Saccharomyces cerevisiae S288C: one gene and its partners. The gene in region 1 interacts genetically with each later gene. Each region holds a gene or a part of one and is shown on either strand. Other genes may lie near its edges.

The links. Genes that interact genetically often act in the same process or in processes that back each other up.
Region 2: mutations in GAB1 (region 1) and FYV8 together harm fitness more than expected from each alone (negative genetic interaction), as found in Saccharomyces cerevisiae (3 studies listed by BioGRID).
Region 3: mutations in GAB1 (region 1) and RLM1 together harm fitness more than expected from each alone (negative genetic interaction), as found in Saccharomyces cerevisiae (3 studies listed by BioGRID).

What each region holds. Positions count from the first base shown.
Region 1 is NC_001144.5:1,055,642-1,063,059, reverse strand, and holds GAB1 (GPI-anchor transamidase subunit GAB1), read right to left. Parts: upstream 5,727-7,418; coding exon 4,542-5,726; downstream 1-4,541. Other genes in the region: seripauperin PAU4, read right to left, coding at 1-141; YLR460C (uncharacterized protein), read left to right, coding at 2,173-3,303; NBP1 (Nbp1p), read left to right, coding at 6,289-7,248; YLR456W (pyridoxal 5'-phosphate synthase), read right to left, coding at 7,376-7,418. UniProt on the Saccharomyces cerevisiae protein: Component of the GPI transamidase complex. May be involved in the recognition of either the GPI attachment signal or the lipid portion of GPI.
Region 2 is NC_001139.9:886,860-894,033, forward strand, and holds FYV8 (Fyv8p), read right to left. Parts: upstream 5,328-7,174; coding exon 2,874-5,327; downstream 1-2,873. Other genes in the region: XKS1 (xylulokinase), read right to left, coding at 1-1,016; exosome non-catalytic core subunit SKI6, read left to right, coding at 2,023-2,763; SNG1 (Sng1p), read right to left, coding at 5,638-7,174.
Region 3 is NC_001148.4:376,247-383,023, reverse strand, and holds RLM1 (Rlm1p), read left to right. Parts: upstream 1-1,873; coding exon 1,874-3,904; downstream 3,905-6,777. Other genes in the region: YPL088W (aldo-keto reductase superfamily protein), read right to left, coding at 31-1,059; 40S ribosomal protein eS6 RPS6A, read left to right, coding at 4,629-4,634, 5,029-5,733; glutathione-disulfide reductase GLR1, read right to left, coding at 6,071-6,777. UniProt on the Saccharomyces cerevisiae protein: May function as a transcription factor downstream of MPK1 that is subject to activation by the MPK1 mitogen-activated protein kinase pathway. Binds to the DNA sequence 5'-CTA[TA](4)TAG-3'. At least some RML1 target genes are involved in cell wall biosynthesis.

The sequences.
Region 1 (7,418 bases):
CAAGTGAGCTCTGATATCAGAGACGTAGACACCCAATTCAACCAAGTTGACTCTTTCGTCAGATTGAGCTATAGTGGTGGTTGCGGAAGCAGTAGCAGCGATGGCAGCGACACCAGCGGCGATTGAAGTTAATTTGACCATTGTATTTGTTTTGTTTGTTAGTGCTGATATAAGCTTAACAGGAAAGAAAGGAATAAAGACATATTCTCAAAGGCATACAGTTGAAGCAGCTCTATTTATACCCATGCCTTCATCAGTCATCACTATTTAAACGATTCGTTAACAGACGCTCATTTAGCACCTCACATATCCTCCATATCTCATCTTTCACACAATCTCATTATCAGTATGGAAATGCTCTTGTTTCTGAACGAATCATACATCTTTCATAGACTTCGTATGTGGAGTATTGTTTTATGGCACTCATGTGTATTCGTATGCGCAGAATGTGGGAATGCCTATTATAGGGATGCCGGGGTACCTTGAAAAACCCTTTTGCGCGCCTGTGATTTCCGTTTTCGGTCAAAAAGAATATCTGAATTTTAGATTTGGACCCTCGTACAGAAGTCTATTGTCTAAGCCTAATTTCAGTGCTTTAAACGGCTTCCGCGGAAGAAGCATTTCTATCTCTTGAATTCGTACAACATTAAACGTGTGTTGGGAGTCGTATACTGTTAGGGTCTGCAATTTGTGAACTCTCGGCGAATGCCTTGGTGCAATTACGTAATTGTAGCCGCTGAAGGCGGATGGTATTGAGAGAAGTTGATGTTCAAAGTATCGTGTATGATAAAAATAAAATTGTAACCAGTTCGTAGTAGCAGTATTAAAACTTTGCACAGAGGGAAATATTTGATTCCGAGATGTAATCCCTCTTTTCTAGCCAGATATGAAGGAGAAAAGTGTAAGGGTAGTAGAGAGCGCTACTTTATTTTATTTTATTTTAAAAATGTTCTCTAGGAAAGGTGTATTAATAGTTGATAAAAAAAGTATTTTGTCTTCTATGTTCATAATTTCAATTCTTGAATTTTGGAAATCGTGAAATGCTTCGAGAAACCGCCTTCAATAATTAGAAAACAAAATAAAAGATTACAATTAGGCCACTCAAAAATACAATTCAGATAAGAAAGGAGCGATAGTGGGGAGTAAGAATTGGAAATACCCTTGATAATCAGGGAAAACTTAAGGAACGGGGTGTTAAAAGTCTGTGAAGTATAGATCAAACTCGCACTAGCTAGCAATACTCATGAGAACCCATGTGAGTCTAAAGCTGTGAAACTTCTTTAGAAAGCAGAGCATCCTCTAAGTTAACAGTTTTCCATACTTATTCAGTATGGATCAAGTTCCACAGTTTGTCAACTTCTGTAAAATAAACTTGTAGTGCTTCTTCGATGAAAAGGGATAGAATCTTTAAAAGACTTGATCTTGGCATTTTTATCCTCCTTCAAGCAGAATGGCTCCAGTAGAGTTGTTCTGAACGCTTCTGGGCAGTGAGCAGCATTGAAGAAAAAGTACTCAGCATTCCAAGCTTTGTTTTCATATAATTATAAATTAAAACTCATAGCCACCAATTTCCAGGTTTTGGTCGCAATATGCTGCAGAGTCAATGGCTTGTTTCATTACTATACTAGTCCGACGGAGTTTACTTTACTCTAAATTTTCTGAAATAGAAAGGCCACACGCCATACAATTAACAATAGTTCATTTAGTTGAAAGGTTTCCGAGATAGAAAGTGCGGTAGTGGAGAAGAACAATAAACGTATCAAACTTTGCGCAGTCATGGAATTTCCAGGAAACATTTTTAGGTTTTCATATGACAGCAGTTCCTGTCCGAGAGCTGTGCCTTTCTTGTCTCAGCTGACTAAGATGTCTCGGATCCGCCCGGCTGACGCGCGGCTCCGTCTAGTGGGATAGGCTTTCAACACATAGAAAACCCTTCAGATGATGAGAACACATCGAATCCCAGAGAGTAATATCACTAAGAATAAAGCAACCATGATAGACGATATTACTAAGTGTTCCTCAACAGATATTGAGAAAAGTTCTTATAAAGCGGGCAGGCTTTTTTCTATTTTTTTCTTTTTCTTTATCTAGCTTAAGATCTTTCTAACCATATTCTATAAAATGGCAAGCTGAATACAGATTATCAACGACAATTACAGATAACCTACAAACATGCAAGTTGCAATTCCAGAAACCATGAAGGCTGTCGTCATTGAAGACGGTAAAGCGGTTGTTAAAGAGGGCATTCCCATTCCTGAATTGGAAGAAGGATTCGTATTGATTAAGACACTCGCTGTTGCTGGTAACCCCACTGATTGGGCACACATTGACTACAAGATCGGGCCTCAAGGATCTATTCTGGGATGTGATGCTGCTGGCCAAATTGTCAAATTGGGCCCAGCTGTCAATCCTAAAGACTTTTCTATCGGTGATTATATTTATGGGTTCATTCACGGATCTTCCGTAAGGTTTCCTTCCAATGGTGCTTTTGCTGAATATTCTGCTATTTCAACTGTGGTTGCCTACAAATCACCCAATGAACTCAAATTTTTGGGTGAGGATGTTCTACCTGCCGGCCCTGTCAGGTCTTTGGAAGGTGTAGCCACTATCCCAGTGTCACTGACCACAGCCGGCTTGGTGTTGACCTATAACTTGGGCTTGGACCTGAAGTGGGAGCCATCAACCCCACAAAGAAAAGGCCCCATCTTATTATGGGGCGGTGCAACTGCAGTAGGTCAGTCGCTCATCCAATTAGCCAATAAATTGAATGGCTTCACCAAGATCATTGTTGTGGCTTCTCGGAAGCACGAAAAACTTTTGAAAGAATATGGTGCTGATGAATTATTTGATTATCATGATATTGACGTGGTAGAACAAATTAAACACAAGTACAACAATATCTCGTATTTAGTCGACTGTGTCGCGAATCAAGATACGCTTCAACAAGTGTACAAATGTGCGGCCGATAAACAGGATGCTACAATTGTTGAATTAAAAAATTTGACAGAAGAAAACGTCAAAAAAGAGAACAGGAGACAAAACGTTACTATTGACATAATAAGGCTATATTCAATAGGTGGCCATGAAGTACCATTTGGAAACATTACTTTACCAGCCGACTCAGAAGCTAGGAAAGCTGCAATAAAATTTATCAAATTCATCAATCCAAAGATTAATGATGGACAAATTCGCCATATTCCAGTAAGGGTCTATAAGAACGGGCTTTGTGATGTTCCTCATATCCTAAAAGACATCAAATATGGTAAGAACTCTGGTGAAAAACTCGTTGCCGTATTAAACTAGATGACGAACAGATATTATTTTCTTTCATATACATAGTTATTACGTTTAGTTATAGTGACTTAGTTTTTTTTTTTTTTTTAATGAAATTGTTTGTTATTGATCACCCCTTGTAGGGGCAACAGATGAGCACAGTGAAAATCATAACTCATTATGTGATTCGTTGTGAGTAACCCTTCCATGATTATATATCCTAACTATCTACTATCCAACTACTACATATCTATTGAACTCATATGTACCAAGCACATAAATTTATGCACCCATTTCCATTGGCAAAGACTTGGCGAAATTTAATACACTGTAATAATATCCGGCGAAGCTCTTTAAGTATTCTTACCTATAATGGCGGCTCGCTGTCCGAACGATTGCGCCGCACTTTTCTGCCTCTTACATTCCTTTTTCCTAAGGCGATAAGCAGGCTGAATGGAAACTACAATATATTGCAATAGAGCTTCCCCAAGGAACTCCCACTTTCCTTGGATTATTACAAAGAGAGTTTTACCTTTTAGGTCATTCTCACAGCAGATCCAAATATGTAGAACCTGTTTTAGAACAACAAATAGAAATGATGTGTTACAGAGTACCGTTTAAACTGAGTCATCACGTAATATTCTAATTATGTTTTTTTTTTTTAAATTAGCTAATGTAAACAGGCTGGAATGTATGGGAACTCATCACTTCGTAACTGATTCCATCTTCTATCTACCATAACTTTAAAAAAGATTATCGATAGTCTAAAAATACGCGATACACATTCTTTCTTCGTCCGTTAATGATAAAGCTCTTTTTATGTTAATGTACATGGGTTGTCAAACTACCCTTCCCAAAAAGACAGCACAAAATATATATTTATGCCGTGCTATTCTATGATAATATATTGGCTTTCACCTAATGGAAGCCCTAGCGAAGATAACCTTTTTCATACGACTTTTGGTGGGAAAGAAATTGGCATAGTCCCAAGTACAATGTTGTTATTATGTAGGAGCTTAATCCGCAGATCATACACTCTATCTCAATTCTTCGTATTATAACGCTCATGATTAATTAGGTCCTTCTGAGTTCTATCTTTTCTCTCCGAGACAATATTATGCAAATTTTAACCAAGCAGTTTCTCTTAAAAAATAGATAGCCTCTGGAATAACCAATATGGCTCTCATATTCGCTTTATCCACTCTTACGATGAACATCTGTATGGTTCTTTTTATTCTAGTTTATGTACGTTTATAGACGGGAAGTAGTTAAATTTGTGTTACCTTCAATTTGAAATTTGGGATACCGTTATCGTATTCAATTCTCAGCATCGCCCAGTTCAAGTCAACTAATATAGATGCTATAGCCAGAGCATAAACTAGGGAAATAGCATAGAAAAAATTACTATTCCCTGAACCTAAAACAACCCAAAGATGATAGAAAATTGGCGCCAAAACAATTGCGTGTAAAAACAGTAATGCTGATATGATGGGGTATCTTAAATATCCAAATAGTGGCGTGAAGAAAGGTAGGAAGCTGAAGAAAAAACCAGCGTCACCTAGTGAGGGATATGGCTTTGTAAGGACAATCCACCCAATGCATAAAATGAATGCGTAGAATGGCTGCTTATGATAGCGCAAAGTAAATGGTGTAATGAATACTGCAATAAAAATGTTGAATACAGCCTTGAAGAACGGTATGAAGGTGTCAAACATTTCAATGAAGAAGTACCACCACAAACCCAGATTTGGAAAAACCTTCTCAAAGGTTATAATAGATCCATAAACCTGTGTCAAAAATGACCAACTTTGGCTGCCTAATATACTGTAGCTGAATAATAGCAGAATTAATAAAGATAGTATGGAAACAATGGCAGATAATATTCTTTGCCTCCAACTTTTCAGCATACCTAATAGCGGAATTAAGAGGAGAATAGGGTATACTGACAAATATCCAGATATAGAAATCATAACAGAGGACAAAAGAACGTTTCCTTCAGCTAATATGCAATACAATGACGATGAAATAGCAAAATTTGTGAATATGATTGATGACCGACTAATGCACGATAAAAGGGTCAAAGGATTCACGGCATAAAGAAGTCCAGGTAGCCAAACTTTCAGTTTCAAGTTTTTGAAAGCCTTTGTTACCTCTGTCAGCTGATACGCAATTAATCCATCAATTAAAGCGTATATGAGGGAAATTAACCTGTCGGAATTAAAGAGGGAAAGAAAAAAAATCAAAATTGGAGGATGGTGAACAACCCCATGATTATATACTTGGATGTTGTTCCGCAGTAGGTATATACCTTCCTGTAGTGACCTAAATGAAGTTACGGGAGTTGAGAATTCTACAGACTGGTCCAGTTGTTGTTGTAGAGAGGGAAAAAGGCTGTTCACAGCCAAACGAATTGCAATACAGCCTAGAGCTACCTTAAGTGCTGTGGAATCCATTGGTCTCCTTTTGGTGAGTTTTTCATATAAGATCACGTTGTTTATATGAATTACTGTTCTAAAACTGGTTAGTTTTGAAAACAAAGGTCATTTCACTTAATGGAATATTTGTTTTACCCGGAATACGTAACATATCGTTTGCCAATAGACGTCTTTAAGAAGGATGTTTTAGCTTCCTTTGAGAATTATGCTACCAATAATGCAGATAGATATGTTGGAAATAACTGTTTTGACAAGAGCTTGAGATTTACTTGTTTAATGTATACTCATATAGAAACATCGAAAACAAATGAGGAAAGAAATTGAGAGCTGAGATCAATGTTAATTTTCATTCATTTGATGTTATACCTTTACACTTTAAAAATAACTCATCCGAAACAGCCAATGGTCTATCCTTGACCTTCGCCAACGCCTCTTATACTTTCATTAGAGGCCACTCTAGCACAATTCGTGACGCGTCATAGTATAGAAACGATGCGCGCATCAACAATTATGAAATTATTGCTGAACATGAACAAGTAGATACTCTGAAGAGAAAGGTACAATAATAGACATTGGTAATATGCTAAAATCCGTACAGGGACTGTGGAAAGATTTTTTTGGAATACGAGATGATGGCAGGAAACGAGAATACGGGTCCCTTGATGAAGTGAGAAAACGATCTGCCTTAAGGAGCAGAAGAAAGCAGATGCGTCCTACGGGTAAAAGCGTTCTAAAAAGACCTAGAAAGGTGACAGATAGGAAAACTGAAGAAAAAATTCGTACTAACAGGAGGAAAACACCCAAACGAAGGTTAACAAAGATATTCCAGACAATCAGAGATGTTTTTTCCAATGATAATGAAAATATGAGCAAGATGCAAAATGTTTGTGGCGACATGACTAGAATTTTGAAGAAGAGATCCCAGGGAAGACCTTCTTATATGGACACAGATACAGCCAAATCTAGGATCCTAAGGAGTGATGCCTTTAAGAGAAAGATATCGGAGTTGAAATACAATAAGCAACGGATCAGTGAACTAAGAAGTGGTAGTTCTGACGGGTCGAGTGGAAAAGATAGAAATCAATCATTATACTTAGATAGAGAAATTCTTCTACAGCGGCAAATTAAGAAAAGAGATGAGAAAATAAAAGCCTTGGAAAGCAAGCTACAATCATTACAAGAAGCATTGAATTACTCAAATGAGAAGTACAGGATTTTGGAGGATTTACTAGATTCTTCAAACATTCATCCATCATACACCAAATCTAGGAGAACCATGTCTAATCTAGCTAGAGAAAACGATGAGATTAAGCCCTTGAAAATTGATCTTTCCCCGTCTCCAATAAGAAGAACGAATTCATTATTCACTTCCAGCCCCATGAAAACATATAATCGGGATGGAAATATACCAGAGATGCAGCCGTTACAGGAAAACATATCTCCCGCCTGTCCCACTCCACCCTATCGTTCAAGGGAAACTGAAAAAGAGGATGAAACACTTTCACCAATCTCAGTGGACTTTTCAAGTTATTTATCTTAATTTCTCCTGTGAAATTAAAAGTATTCTCCATATATGGAGCGCGAAGATCACGGCCTAATCCTCATGATTCATTTTATAGATGCTTTATATAATAATTAGAGTACACATAGTTTTCATCATATTTCCGTTAAACTGGTTGTACTGTTTGGCCGTATGTAGAAGTATTATTT
Region 2 (7,174 bases), on another chromosome or scaffold:
AGATGATAGTTCGGAGAGGGGTGATACTTATCGGTGACCAGAAGAACTGTAGTACTTGTTCCTAGGGAAACGAGAACGTCATTCTTCCGCAGGGGTAAAGAACATATAGTGGCTAAATTATCCCCAGTCATGGGAGAGACCTTGCAGTTTGTATTGAAACCGTACTTCTCAATAAAATATTTACAGATGGTACCCGCTATCAAATTTTTCATGGGTGCTCTCATTAATTTTTGTCTGATAGTTTTATCCTTAGAAGAACTATCAATTAGATGTAGTAGCTCATCACTGAATTTTCTTTCACGTATATCATAAAGGTTCATACCACAGGCATCTGCCTCCTCTAATTCAACAAGATGGCCCACTAAGATAGAAGTCAAAAAATTAGACACTAAAGAAATGGTCTTTGTTTTTTCGTAAGCTTCTGGTTCTAATTGTGCAATTTTCAGAATTTGAGGACCAGTAAATCTAAAATGGGCTCTGGACCCTGTTAATTGAGCCATTTTTTCAGGCCCACCTATGCACTCTTCAAACTCTTGACATTGCTTTGCAGTACTGTGGTCTTGCCAATTGGGGGCGGTTTGCCTTGCAAATGCTACAGAGCTCACGTAGTGCAATAAATCTTTTTCCGGTTTCTTATTCAATTGCTCTAACAGAGATTCGGCTTGGGAGGACCAGTAGACAGACCCGTGCTGCTGGCAGGACCCTGAGACGGCCATAACTTTGTTCAATGGAAATTTAGCCTCGCGATATTTCGAGAGAACCAGATCTAGAGCCTCTAACCACATGGCTACGGGACATTCGATAGTGTCGCCGTGTATATAGACACCCTTCTTTGTGTGATAATGCGGAAGATCCTTTTCAAATTCCACTGTTTCTGAATGGACAATTTTTAGGTCCTGGTTAATGGCGAGACATTTCAGTTGTTGGGTCGAAAGATCAAACCCAAGATAGTATGAGTCTAAAGACATTGTGTTGGAAACCTCTCTTGTCTGTCTCTGAATTACTGAACACAACATTAAAGTACTAATCTCATCCTCCTTTTGTTTTTCTCGAGAGGGCCCCCTTATTCGTCCGCCTGAGATTGCATTGGCCGAATTGAAAAGTGACAGTTATGCACCTCAGCGGCTATTCCCTGCGTCGCTTGCTGAAGATTGAGGATTATAGGAAGTAGTAAGCTGGAAATGGTAATTTGTAAAAAGAAAATTTCTAATACTGTGACAATGTTATTAAATCGGGGTTGTTTTTGTTTGGGGCGGCCAGCGGAATAATTTGTTTTCAAGGACAGCAGAAGCTCAGAAGAACAAAATCTCCGTGATCTTTTAAACTTTTTTCCATTCTGATGGAATAATGGTCTTGATCCCCTAAATATTTCCTTTTTTATTGCAATTATGATAGAAATTAATAGTAGTCTATGCTGGATGATATATATATCTCTTTTGAGCTTGCTTCAAATTTTTTCCCGTTATAATGATGAGTGTTTTGCTTATTAAGGGTCTAGGACATTTCTATCAGTTTCTATACCAAAAGAAGAAAAAGTGGAGAATTGTTTGTTTATTTTAATATTTTGTTCTTTAGTTTTAAAAATTCAGAAGAGAAAAAAATTTTATTTGTCACAAGGAAATAAAACATAAACAAAAAAGAAAAATTAAGATTTGCAATTCTGCCGCTTAAGCAAAAGTAGATCATTCACTGGAATATATATATATAAACGCATTTATAATCTTGTAACGTGCACTCAATTTAGCTACGAAAGCCAACCAGCAAGGAACCTTTTATTTGAGTAGGTACATTTACATCTTCGGGTAACGCGGTGAAATTGAAAAATTTTAAGGCATTAATAATTGAAAAGCTAGAAGAAATGGATGAATGAATGACATTGCGAACCATTGTGCAATGAACATCATCCAAAAGAAAACATCATTTACACATATTTTCTTTCCAGGGTCCCACTGGTAAAATCTATTAACATATAAAAAGATTTACAAAAAAACTTTAGTGCCATAACTACAGCAGGATCATCATATGTCAAGACTAGAAATATACTCGCCAGAAGGGCTACGTCTCGATGGACGTCGATGGAATGAACTCCGCCGTTTTGAAAGTTCCATCAACACACATCCGCACGCTGCAGACGGTTCATCCTACATGGAACAAGGTAACAACAAAATTATCACTCTTGTTAAAGGTCCAAAAGAGCCAAGATTGAAATCTCAAATGGATACCTCAAAGGCTTTATTGAACGTATCGGTAAACATTACAAAATTCTCCAAATTCGAAAGAAGTAAATCAAGCCACAAGAATGAAAGGCGTGTTCTTGAGATACAAACCTCCCTGGTGAGGATGTTTGAGAAGAATGTCATGCTGAATATCTACCCCAGAACAGTTATCGATATCGAGATCCATGTCCTTGAGCAAGATGGCGGTATTATGGGATCTTTAATCAACGGTATTACCCTCGCTTTAATAGATGCCGGTATATCAATGTTCGATTACATAAGTGGTATATCCGTCGGGCTGTACGATACTACCCCATTATTAGATACCAATTCATTAGAAGAAAATGCTATGAGTACAGTGACACTAGGTGTGGTAGGGAAGTCAGAAAAACTTTCTCTTTTATTGGTGGAAGACAAAATTCCGTTAGATAGGTTAGAGAACGTTCTTGCCATCGGCATCGCAGGTGCTCATAGGGTAAGAGATTTGATGGATGAAGAACTGAGGAAACATGCTCAGAAAAGAGTCAGTAACGCCTCTGCTAGGTAGAATAAAAAACGCCATTAATTGCCACTGTTTATATAAAAGTACATAAAAAACAGTAAAATTGAAAATTGAACGCATTTACATTTTCGTGTTTCTACCGTAAAGCAAAACGCTTACAGTTTTTTCTTACCTATTGATGCGAATAAATCCTTTGGTTTCATAGAATGCTGGAAAACTTTTCTCCTTAAGTGCGTTACATTTTGGTTGACACTAGCAACCGTGTTAATGACAGTATGCTTCTTACTCAAATCGTCCGCGTTCGCATATGCTTCCCTAACGTGACTATGCTGCTTATACTCCTCAGCTATGAAATCCTTATCCTTATTAGAGGATGATTTTAGCGTATAATTTATCCATGTTTGTATCCCCGTATCATATTCATCTAGCTCACGCTTATAATTTCTCAACTGTTCTATCTTACCGGCGTGCGAAGTCTTACTGTTCAGTAGTTTATTCATATCTAATTTCGGTAAGTTATTCTGCTGCCCCAATTTCGCCATTTCTTCAGTACTGGGTTCATGGACGCTTGTCATTTCGCCTTGAGATACTGTTCTGTTTTCACTTTTGAAAGATGCACTGCGCGCTGCCAAATCATTGGCAGTATTGTTACTATTATCATTATCTGTTGTACTATTATCGTTTCCTGCATTTAATTGTTCCTGTGCGTCCATCGGTAGAGGTGGCAAATTCGATTGGTTACCAATCAAACCGGGAACATTATAAATCGTATTGTTGTCGTATATAGTCTTAGTGTCCCTGATTGTCTCCAAATCGTCATCTTCGCCTTTGGAAGGGAATGCATCCCAAGTACTCTCCATCTCTGAATAAGTCGATACAACACGTGGTTTCATACTAGCAGGTGTTAAATCTACTAGCTTCCCGTTAGAATCGATCACGTAACCTGGTGGCGCTTTCTTATTGGCTGTATCCTGTACGAACCCTGATCGTAAGGCCTCACTGTCCGGCTTCCAAGAATCAACATCAGTGGAGTCTTTAACTGAACTTTCTTCCAAAACTTTGTCTTCATTTATGTGGTCTTCCTCATCGCTGCCATCGCTGTTTTCCAATTCAGAACCGCTATTTGACAAATTGGTATTTTCAATGGTGTCTATTTGATTAGGTTGCAATGCTGAATCACCTTTATCATCATTACCAATCATTTTGGAGAAATAACCTGATTTGGGCGCCTTGAGACTGCCTTCATCTGAATCAGAGCTCATACCTTTTTCCTCCTCCTCTTCATCACTCGTAAGTAGAATGGAACCTTTTTCCCTATTAGAAAATTTATAGCTATCTGTATCTTCATTTTCGTCTTCTATGGATTCATTATCTTCGTTTTTGTCTTCTATGGATTCATTATCTTCATTATCTTCTTCTTCTGTCTCATTTGTCGAATATTTTATTGATTCGGTATACGACAATGCATCATCGTCAGTTGTATCAAGTTGTTTCGATTGCCGGTTAATATCAGCATGTTTATCACTAACCGAAGATCGATTATCATCATCACTACTACCACTGTTGCCTTCGTTGTTATCATCTTCTTCAGAGTCTGACGAATGCTGATAATCATTGAAAAAAGAATTTCGATATCCATTATCACTAGTTTTTGTTTCATTTGCTACGGGTTTCGGCTTTGCTACTTTATCTTGCCCACTAGATGTAGAGTTCCTATTCCTAATACTAGTCTTTTCTTCACTTTTTTCTTTCTTTTCCAAAGCTCCTGAGCTCTCGACTTCACCATCATCTTCTTGTTGTAAATTCTCCTCTTTCTCCGCAGGCAGAATATCTGCAAGGTAGCCTCTTTCGGAAACTTTAAACTCGTCGTCTTTCTGCTCAGAAACATCGCCATCACTACTCAAATGTTCATTTCCATTCCTTGTTGGCGTATTGAAAGTGGTATCAGCTTCATTAGTATCCATTGAAACCCCTAAGGAATGTGATTTTTCATCTTCTTCTACAGGAGATGATGAAGAGGGTACCGCTTCCCCTAATGGTGCTTCGTTTTGGATTTCGTCACAACTGTCTGAATCACGCCGAAAATCAGATGTTTGCCTAATTTCTGGTGTCATCTCCCTTGATATTTGCTCTATCAAATTGTCTAGGTCTTCGTTTACAGCCCTATTTGTATGTGGTGATTTTTTGTTTTCACTTGGACTTTTCAAAGATGCTGTCGACGAAAGATAATCTGATTTGGAGTGCTCGCTGGATTTTTTCGCTTGTAATTCCACAGACTCTCTTGAAGCCATAAGTTTAGGCACCCCATCTGAGAGATAGCCTACTTCCTTGTCACTAGGACTAATATCACTCTTACTGACGTTATTATCATTGCTGTCTTTATTTTCACCCGTATTTTCATCATGCTCACCATTAACATCTGTATAATTGAGCTTGGGTAAACTAGGCAAATTAGATATTTTTTGCTTGTGAATTTCTGAACCTTTTGTGCCATCCTCGGAAGAGTAGTCATATTCGTCACTACTGTCCCATCCAGCGCCGTCATAACTTGCTTGAGATGCGCTAACCCATCTATACGATTTCTTTCTACCGACCTGTTCAGTGCTCATAATAAATATCCGCTTTCCAGAAAAAGGGTAATGATCAAACAGTCCCTTTTAACTATAATGCAAGTTTTGTGTTTACCTTGTTAACCATGTATGAAAGTGGTATTTAGGAATACTTTTAAGTGCCTTACAGAATTCTTGGCATGAGAAAAACAAAATAGCTACCCGGAATGAAACACTAATGTGTCACCAAACAAACAAACGACGTTATATAATTGTTGTGATATTTGCATCTTCATCTTATGATGATGAGAATATAAATAATTTTTAATCGTATTAAGTGTATATATGAATAAGCTATTAACCCTACCCATTAATTTCCGGGCGGGTTGTTATTTTTATCAGTATTGGCCTCTGCCGGGCGGCTAGCACGCTGGGTAGCTGCTGCGACAGCGGCTTCTGCTGCTTGCATAGCATTTTTTTGCATTTTTTTACCTGCAAACTTCATACAAAATGGCATCAAGGATGTATTGAGGGCAACCCATGCCACGAGAATACCGTAATTTCTTCCCATTTTTCTTTTGGTTAAATTCAAAAAAATCACTTTATAGATATCCACGGCATTATGGATTGGCATTATGTAGCCGTACCTGTAAAATTCGTTGTTCAAAACCATTGGGTAGAATGAAGCAGAAATATTTAATATGATCCACGTCATCAACCAAATACTCAGGTATGGAGGGCAGTAAGCTATAACTAAGCTGAGAACGTTTTCATTGGCACCACCAACAGCCATCATTACCAACCACGTAGACATCCAATATACTACGAATCCTCCTCTGCCAAAGGCGGGGGTGAAATCGATCCTAAAAATTGCAGATACGGTACAGAATCCAATGGAAAGAAGAAAATAAGTTGCCCAGGAAATTAGAAGCCTGTAGATTAAAATATGCTTTGGCTTCAGAACTCTGGCCATTTCTCCGTGCAACTTACCATATAATGACAGTTGTAAAACGGTTAACAAAATACAATAAATCAGACCGACCTGCAGAGGGGCCATTAGAATACGATCAGCAAAGGGACGATAATCGTTGTAGGTGAACAACAACTGTCCTGCAATCGCCCAGTTCTCCATGTTTATATTAAGATCTCTGTCATTAGAAGTGATGTTGCTCATCAATGAGGGAAGATATTCCTTGACGTAATATTTCTGAAGGCGGACCTCCAATTGTTGCATGAGTGGTAGAATGGTCGATTTAACACTCGATGGGTCACGACCACTTTCAAACACGGATTCAAAAAAAATTGATGAATTGAACTCCGAGTTTGCGTCTTGGCTAATCAAAGAATTATACAAAGTGTCTGTAGCATTAGGTTTAACGTTTAACGCCAGCCAGTATCTCTCATCGTAAATTAAATCGACTATCTTTCTGTCAATTTCGGTGGAGTTCGTCGTACCAAATTTCCTATGAAATGATGTTGCGTTGTATATATGCCATGTCCCGGGGACAGACGCTAACAATGAGGGTATGATCGCGGAAATAGATTGAACTGAAGTATTAGATGGCGCATCCTGCAATACAACAATATTTTTCACTTTGAAAAAGTAACGATCTGTTCCGTAACAGGCACCCCAGTAAATCGATATGAGCGATACACACACACAAGCAATGAAGAAGTTGTTCAAAACAAACTTCGAGAGAATCTTTTTCCTATGATTTCGCAGTCTTGGAGAAAAAAGCCCTGTTTGAATTCTTGCCAAGGGACCGCCGTCGTTACCGCCCTTCTCTTCCTCATTAGCGCCACCTTCCCCCACAGATGACAATGAGGACGGCTTTTCATCAGGAGGCCGATAGTCTTCTAATGACTTTGCTAAGTCAGAAGAATGGCCGGAACCCTCAGCAAATCGC
Region 3 (6,777 bases), on another chromosome or scaffold:
TATATATCAGTGGGCCCATGAAAATCTAACTTAACATCTTTGCCTCTGGGGTTTGTAGGGCTCCTCGAGGTACTTTATCTCTTCTTCTGTTAGAGTTACTTGTAGTGCGGCAATCGCTTCGTCTACTCTTGCTGTAGTGTTCAATCCCACAATAGGGTGACATCCTTTATGCAAAACCCATGCAATGGAGAGCATAGCCATCGAGACTTTTTTGTCCTTCGACACCTTTTCCACACGATTTATAATTTCCTTTTGTTCTTCTTCGAGATTATCCAAATGTAACGACTTGAAAGTTGGATCACTCTTAATCCTGTCCGTGCTTTGGTTCAGAGGACGAGTCAACATGCCTCGTGCGTTAGGAGACCATGGAAGTAAACCAATATTGTGTCTTTTGGCAAAAGGAATCAATTCGCGTTCATCTTCACGATAGAGCAAATTGTAGTAAGACTGCGAAGAAATGAACTGAAACCAGCCATATTTATCGGCTGTGAACTGCAGTTCTGCAAATTCAGTTGCCAACATACTCGAAGCCCCAATGTATCTAACGTGGCCCGCTTCAACAACATCATTCAATGCCTTCATGATCTCTTTCATTGGCGTTTCATGATCTAATCTGTGAATTTGTAAAAGGTCTATATATGTGCCCAGTCTTTTCACAGAGTTCTCGACACCAGCAATTATATGCTTTCTGGATAAACCCCGCTGGTTGGACAAGTCCAATTCTTCAAATTCATTTAAAGTGAAGTTATGATGCAAATCAAGCGTTTCATCAACTGGGAAGTAAATTTTGGTCATAATCACCACCGTTTCTCTCTTTATACTGTAGTACTCCAGAAACTCCTTAATTATTCTTTCACTCAAACCATTAGAATAAAAATCTGCTGTGTCAAAAGTACGAAGACCTTTATCGTAACAATGCTTCATAATCTTGAAAATTTGGGTCTTGTCCTCTATGACCCAGTCCGCCCATTTCTTGGACCCGTATGACATACATCCTATCACTATCGGTGATATCTTAAGACCTGAGTTACCGAGTCTTACCTGCTTAACTAAAACCATTTCTGCCGCCTGATGTGGGTCTTCCGTAACAGCCAAATTACATAGTTGGCAAGACAATTAATATATGATACCTTGTTCTCTGGGTCCTAATATATATATATATATATATATATATACGAAAAGGCTGAGAAGAATAAGGCAGATGTTAGCTTAGCTTCTTTTACTCAAGCAATGAAAACAAAATCGAAGGGAAACAAATTCAAACCAAGCGGCCGAGTTATCTCCCGTTCCTAACCTACTACACTAATCACATTTTTCCGTGGAAATAACGTTATTGAAAATGCGTTCTTGCCTGCCATACGTGGGTGAAATACTTCCACGTTCGCAAAAAATACTTCCACGGTGACGAAGTCTGTCTCAGTCGTATATTAAATGCAGAAATCGTCTTATCATTATTGGGCTCTCTTAACGGCGCAGCATCACCGGGTGATGAATGCCAAGCCGCAGAAAGAAAGAAAAAAATTTACTTCAGATTTCTGATAAAAATAAAACGGAAGAGATGAAAGCTAATAATAGAAACAGCTCGATCTTCCTCTGAACAATAATAATTAAAGGACAGACAAAAAGAAACGTAAGAAAGAAGCGAGCCTGTTCTAAAGTGTTCAACGACTGATTCAATTAGAACTGCCTACTCCTGATAGCCAACTCAACTTTTGACTCGTTAAAGTAATTGAAAGCTGGCAAGCAGAATTATTCTTTTTTTTTTTCAAGGTTTCTATCACGTTGTGAGGTTAATATCCCCCGGAGCAAACAGGCTGAAGCGTGAAAAAAACTTAAATATTAAAGTGTCGCAAAACTATACTATAGATACAACATGGGTAGACGGAAGATTGAAATCCAGAGAATTTCTGATGACAGAAATAGGGCTGTCACGTTTATAAAACGTAAAGCTGGCCTTTTTAAGAAGGCCCATGAACTATCCGTTCTTTGTCAAGTAGACATAGCCGTCATTATACTGGGGTCCAATAACACGTTCTATGAGTTTTCCTCTGTGGATACGAATGATTTAATCTATCACTACCAAAATGACAAAAACTTGCTTCACGAAGTGAAAGATCCTTCCGATTATGGAGACTTTCACAAAAGTGCATCCGTTAACATAAATCAAGACCTACTCAGGTCGTCTATGTCAAATAAGCCTTCGAAATCAAATGTTAAAGGAATGAACCAGTCAGAAAATGATGATGATGAGAACAATGATGAGGACGACGATGATCATGGCAATTTTGAGAGGAATTCAAATATGCATTCGAATAAAAAAGCCTCTGATAAAAATATACCGAGTGCACACATGAAGTTGTTATCCCCGACCGCACTCATTTCAAAGATGGATGGTAGTGAGCAAAATAAACGTCATCCTGAGAACGCGCTGCCGCCTTTACAACATTTGAAAAGATTGAAACCGGATCCTTTGCAAATAAGTAGAACTCCGCAACAGCAACAGCAGCAAAATATATCGAGACCATACCATAGTAGCATGTACAATCTTAACCAGCCTTCATCCAGTTCATCTTCTCCTTCCACGATGGATTTTCCAAAATTACCAAGCTTTCAAAACTCTTCCTTTAATGGTCGTCCTCCACCCATTTCCATTTCACCGAACAAGTTCAGTAAGCCATTTACAAATGCATCCTCAAGGACCCCTAAACAGGAGCACAAAATTAACAATAGTGGCAGCAATAATAATGACAACAGCAACTACACTCAGTCACCATCTAATTCTTTGGAAGACTCTATTCAGCAGACTGTCAAAGCAAGAAGGAAATTGTCCGCCAGACCGGTACTTCGTGTGAGAATTCCGAACAACAATTTCAGCAGTAATTCCGCTATTCCAAGTGAACCCTCCTCTGCCTCCTCCACATCGGCCAACGGCAATAGTATGGGCTCTTCGCAGATAATGAAAGAAAACAAAACAAGTAGGTCTAGCAAAATTTCTCCACTATCCGCATCTGCCTCAGGCCCCTTAACTCTCCAAAAAGGTAATAATGGCAGAATGGTAATAAAATTGCCAAATGCAAATGCGCCTAACGGTTCTAACAATGGTAATGGCAGTAACAATAACAATCACCCTTATCCTTTCGGAAGTGGGTCTTCACCTCTTTTTTCTGCAACACAGCCATACATTGCCACTCCCTTGCAACCATCGAATATTCCTGGCGGACCTTTCCAACAAAATACATCTTTTTTAGCTCAAAGACAAACCCAGCAATACCAACAAATGTCTTTCAAAAAACAGAGCCAAACAGTACCATTAACTACAACATTAACCGGACGCCCCCCTTCAACTTTTTCCGGCCCTGAAACCAGCAATGGCCCTCCAACTGGTTCACTGCCATCGAAGTTCGTACATGATTTGATGAGTAATTCTCCAAATGTTTCTTCTATATCGATGTTTCCAGACTGGTCAATGGGACCCAACAGTGCCAAGCCGGGAAACACAAACAATCCTGGTACTTTCCCTCCCGTACAGACGGCCGTAAACAACGGCAACTCCAGCAATATCAGCAGCACTAACAACACTAACAACAACAACAACAATAACAACAACAACAGCAGCAACAACAACAGCAACAACGGCAACGACAATAACAGTAACAATAGCAATAACAGTTACTATAGTAATAATGAAGATGCACCCGTAAATGGAGCTGCTATTTCAGAACATACTACCGATGGTGACTCGAACAATCAGTCCAACTCAAGTACATATGATGCTGCTGCCACCGCATATAATGGAAATACCGGGCTGACTCCATACATAAATACTGCTCAAACACCACTAGGCACTAAATTCTTTAATTTTTCGACTGATATTTCAGGAGAAAAAAATTCAAGCAAAATATAAACCAAAAAATTTGACCAGTATGAATATTCCAAGCATAAGAAACTTCTTTTCATTTAAAAAATTTATATTTATATTATTGTAAATGCACATATTTACGTAGTGAATAACCCAAACAAGGAAGAAAAACGAAAAACTCAATTGCATTTTCTGAATAATGATAGTATTTAAGTACTCTTTTGTGCATTAGCAACTAAAATGAATTGCCGCCTGGCCTGGAGTTTGATGTAAGCAGAAGCCGGAAGAAGACAAGAGGTTCATTCAGAGAAAACATCCGTACATTCGAGTTCTCATTGAACCCATACATTTCAACTATTTTTACATAGTTCGTTTTTCATGTGTAAAATTGTCATCGACGCGCCGGAGCATCGGAAAGTTGGAACGTGCGCGATTGCACCAATCCCACTGGGGCCGTGCATTCTGTAGGCAGGAAGCCACTGGACACTCTGCCCGTTCCCACTTGGAAGATTGGCGTAATTCCACGCTCCTCTATCGATTCTAGCGGGAAAGTTATCTCTCCTGGTAAGCGTTGGAGGAATGCCGCTACCTAGGTAAGTCTACTGGGTGGGAATTCCAGTACCGACGTCTAGGAACATCATGATGCTGCAGTTTCTTTGAAATTTCATATACAGTGTTACCAAGGATAAAGTGGTTAATGCTTATTCGTCATTGAATTTTTATATTTGCTTAAGAGAAGTGACAAAAGAGTGAAGACAGACTATACATCATGAAGGTATGATTTATGATACTATTATTGAGGGGCAACAGAGAACTTTATATGTGGAAAAATGGCATGAAAGTTTGAAAGTGAGAAAGAACTAAACAGAACCAGACGTCGTAAAGATTTTAGAAATTTTTTATGGAAAGAAGCAGGAAGACTACCATATACTAATTGATGCGTTTGTGGCGTTATTTTTAAACAAACAGAGCGGGTTTACATATACTGTTACTACAAACCGTGAAATTGAAGCAGTTCATATACTTGGAGTATAGTCAATAAAAGACAAGCTTTTTCATCTTCCACTTAATAATTTCTCTAGAGTAATAAACTTCACCCTATTCAAACATTAATTTTGCAATAGTATACTAACAAATTTTCTTAATAACCTGTTGAAAATTTAAAATAGTTGAACATTTCTTACCCAGTTAACGGGTCTCAAAAGACCTTCGAAATTGATGATGAACACCGTATTCGTGTTTTCTTCGACAAGAGAATCGGTCAAGAAGTCGATGGTGAAGCCGTTGGTGACGAATTCAAGGGTTACGTCTTCAAGATCTCTGGTGGTAACGACAAACAAGGTTTCCCAATGAAGCAAGGTGTTTTGTTGCCAACTAGAATCAAGTTGTTGTTGACCAAGAACGTTTCTTGTTACAGACCAAGACGTGATGGTGAAAGAAAGAGAAAGTCCGTCAGAGGTGCCATTGTTGGTCCAGATTTGGCTGTCTTGGCTTTGGTCATTGTCAAGAAGGGTGAGCAAGAATTGGAAGGTCTAACTGACACTACTGTTCCAAAGAGATTGGGTCCAAAGAGAGCTAACAACATCAGAAAGTTCTTCGGTTTGTCCAAGGAAGATGACGTTCGTGATTTCGTCATCAGAAGAGAAGTCACCAAGGGTGAAAAGACTTACACCAAGGCTCCAAAGATCCAAAGATTGGTTACTCCTCAAAGATTGCAAAGAAAGAGACACCAAAGAGCTTTGAAGGTCAGAAACGCTCAAGCTCAAAGAGAAGCTGCTGCCGAATACGCTCAATTGTTGGCTAAGAGATTGTCTGAAAGAAAGGCTGAGAAGGCTGAAATCAGAAAGAGAAGAGCTTCTTCTTTGAAGGCTTAAAGTTAGAAAGCAGTAAAAGATAAATTCTTTTGTTCAAAAACTCCTTTCTTATTCTGTATTTTGTGTATTTTTAAGCTTAAAATCAAATAACTTTATTTTTTATATAATTAACAAAAAGAAAAATAATCATATGTATTGTAAACGAGAGTCGGAATGTATCCTCAACTGAATATCCAAGCGAGTCCACAGTAGCTAATAGTCTGAAAAAAAAAGGAACCCTTGTCCTTGAACAGAAATGACAAAATTACTACGTATTTCAGGATGCTATATAAGATTGTTTACAAGAGTACAAAAGTCCAGTATAGCAACAGCAGATTGGACGTCTAGTTTCGTTGCTTCATCTCATAGTAACCAATTCTTCTGCGCTAGTCGGATGAATAGCAACACAATTATCGAAATCAGCCTTAGTGGCACCCATCTTTATAGCAACACCGAACCCTTGCAAGATTTCTGCAGAGGAATCACCAACAATGTGCAGACCGACAACCTTTTCATTTGGTCCCGCACAAACAATTTTATATCTTGTGGGTGATTTCTCACTCAACATAGCATAGTACATGGCGGTAAATTTGGAATTGTAGACCTTTATATTCTCCTTACCGTACTTTTCAATGGCTTCCTTCTCAGAAATACCAATGGAACCGGCTTCAGGATGTGAGAAAATTACGCTGGGGACGTTCTCGTAATCTAGTTTGTCATTACGGAATTTCTCTGGACCAAACAGTCTATTAGACAGCTTTCTGCCCGCTGCAATAGCGACAGGTGTCAATTCAACTTTTCCAACAACGTCACCTAGAGAATAAATGTTTGGAACATTGGTGTTCTGATATTCATCAGCAATTATTTGGTCATGAGAGTTCAGCTTTATACCTACATTTTCTGAACCCATACCTAGATGGGATTTACGTCCAATTGTCCAAATTAATTCGTCAACGTCATCGATGGACTTTGAGTCATTCATATGTATTTTCAGTTTGTCAGTTTCTACATTTTTCTCCACCTTAACAATTTTGGATAGTTTATGAACGTTGATGCCTTCCTTTA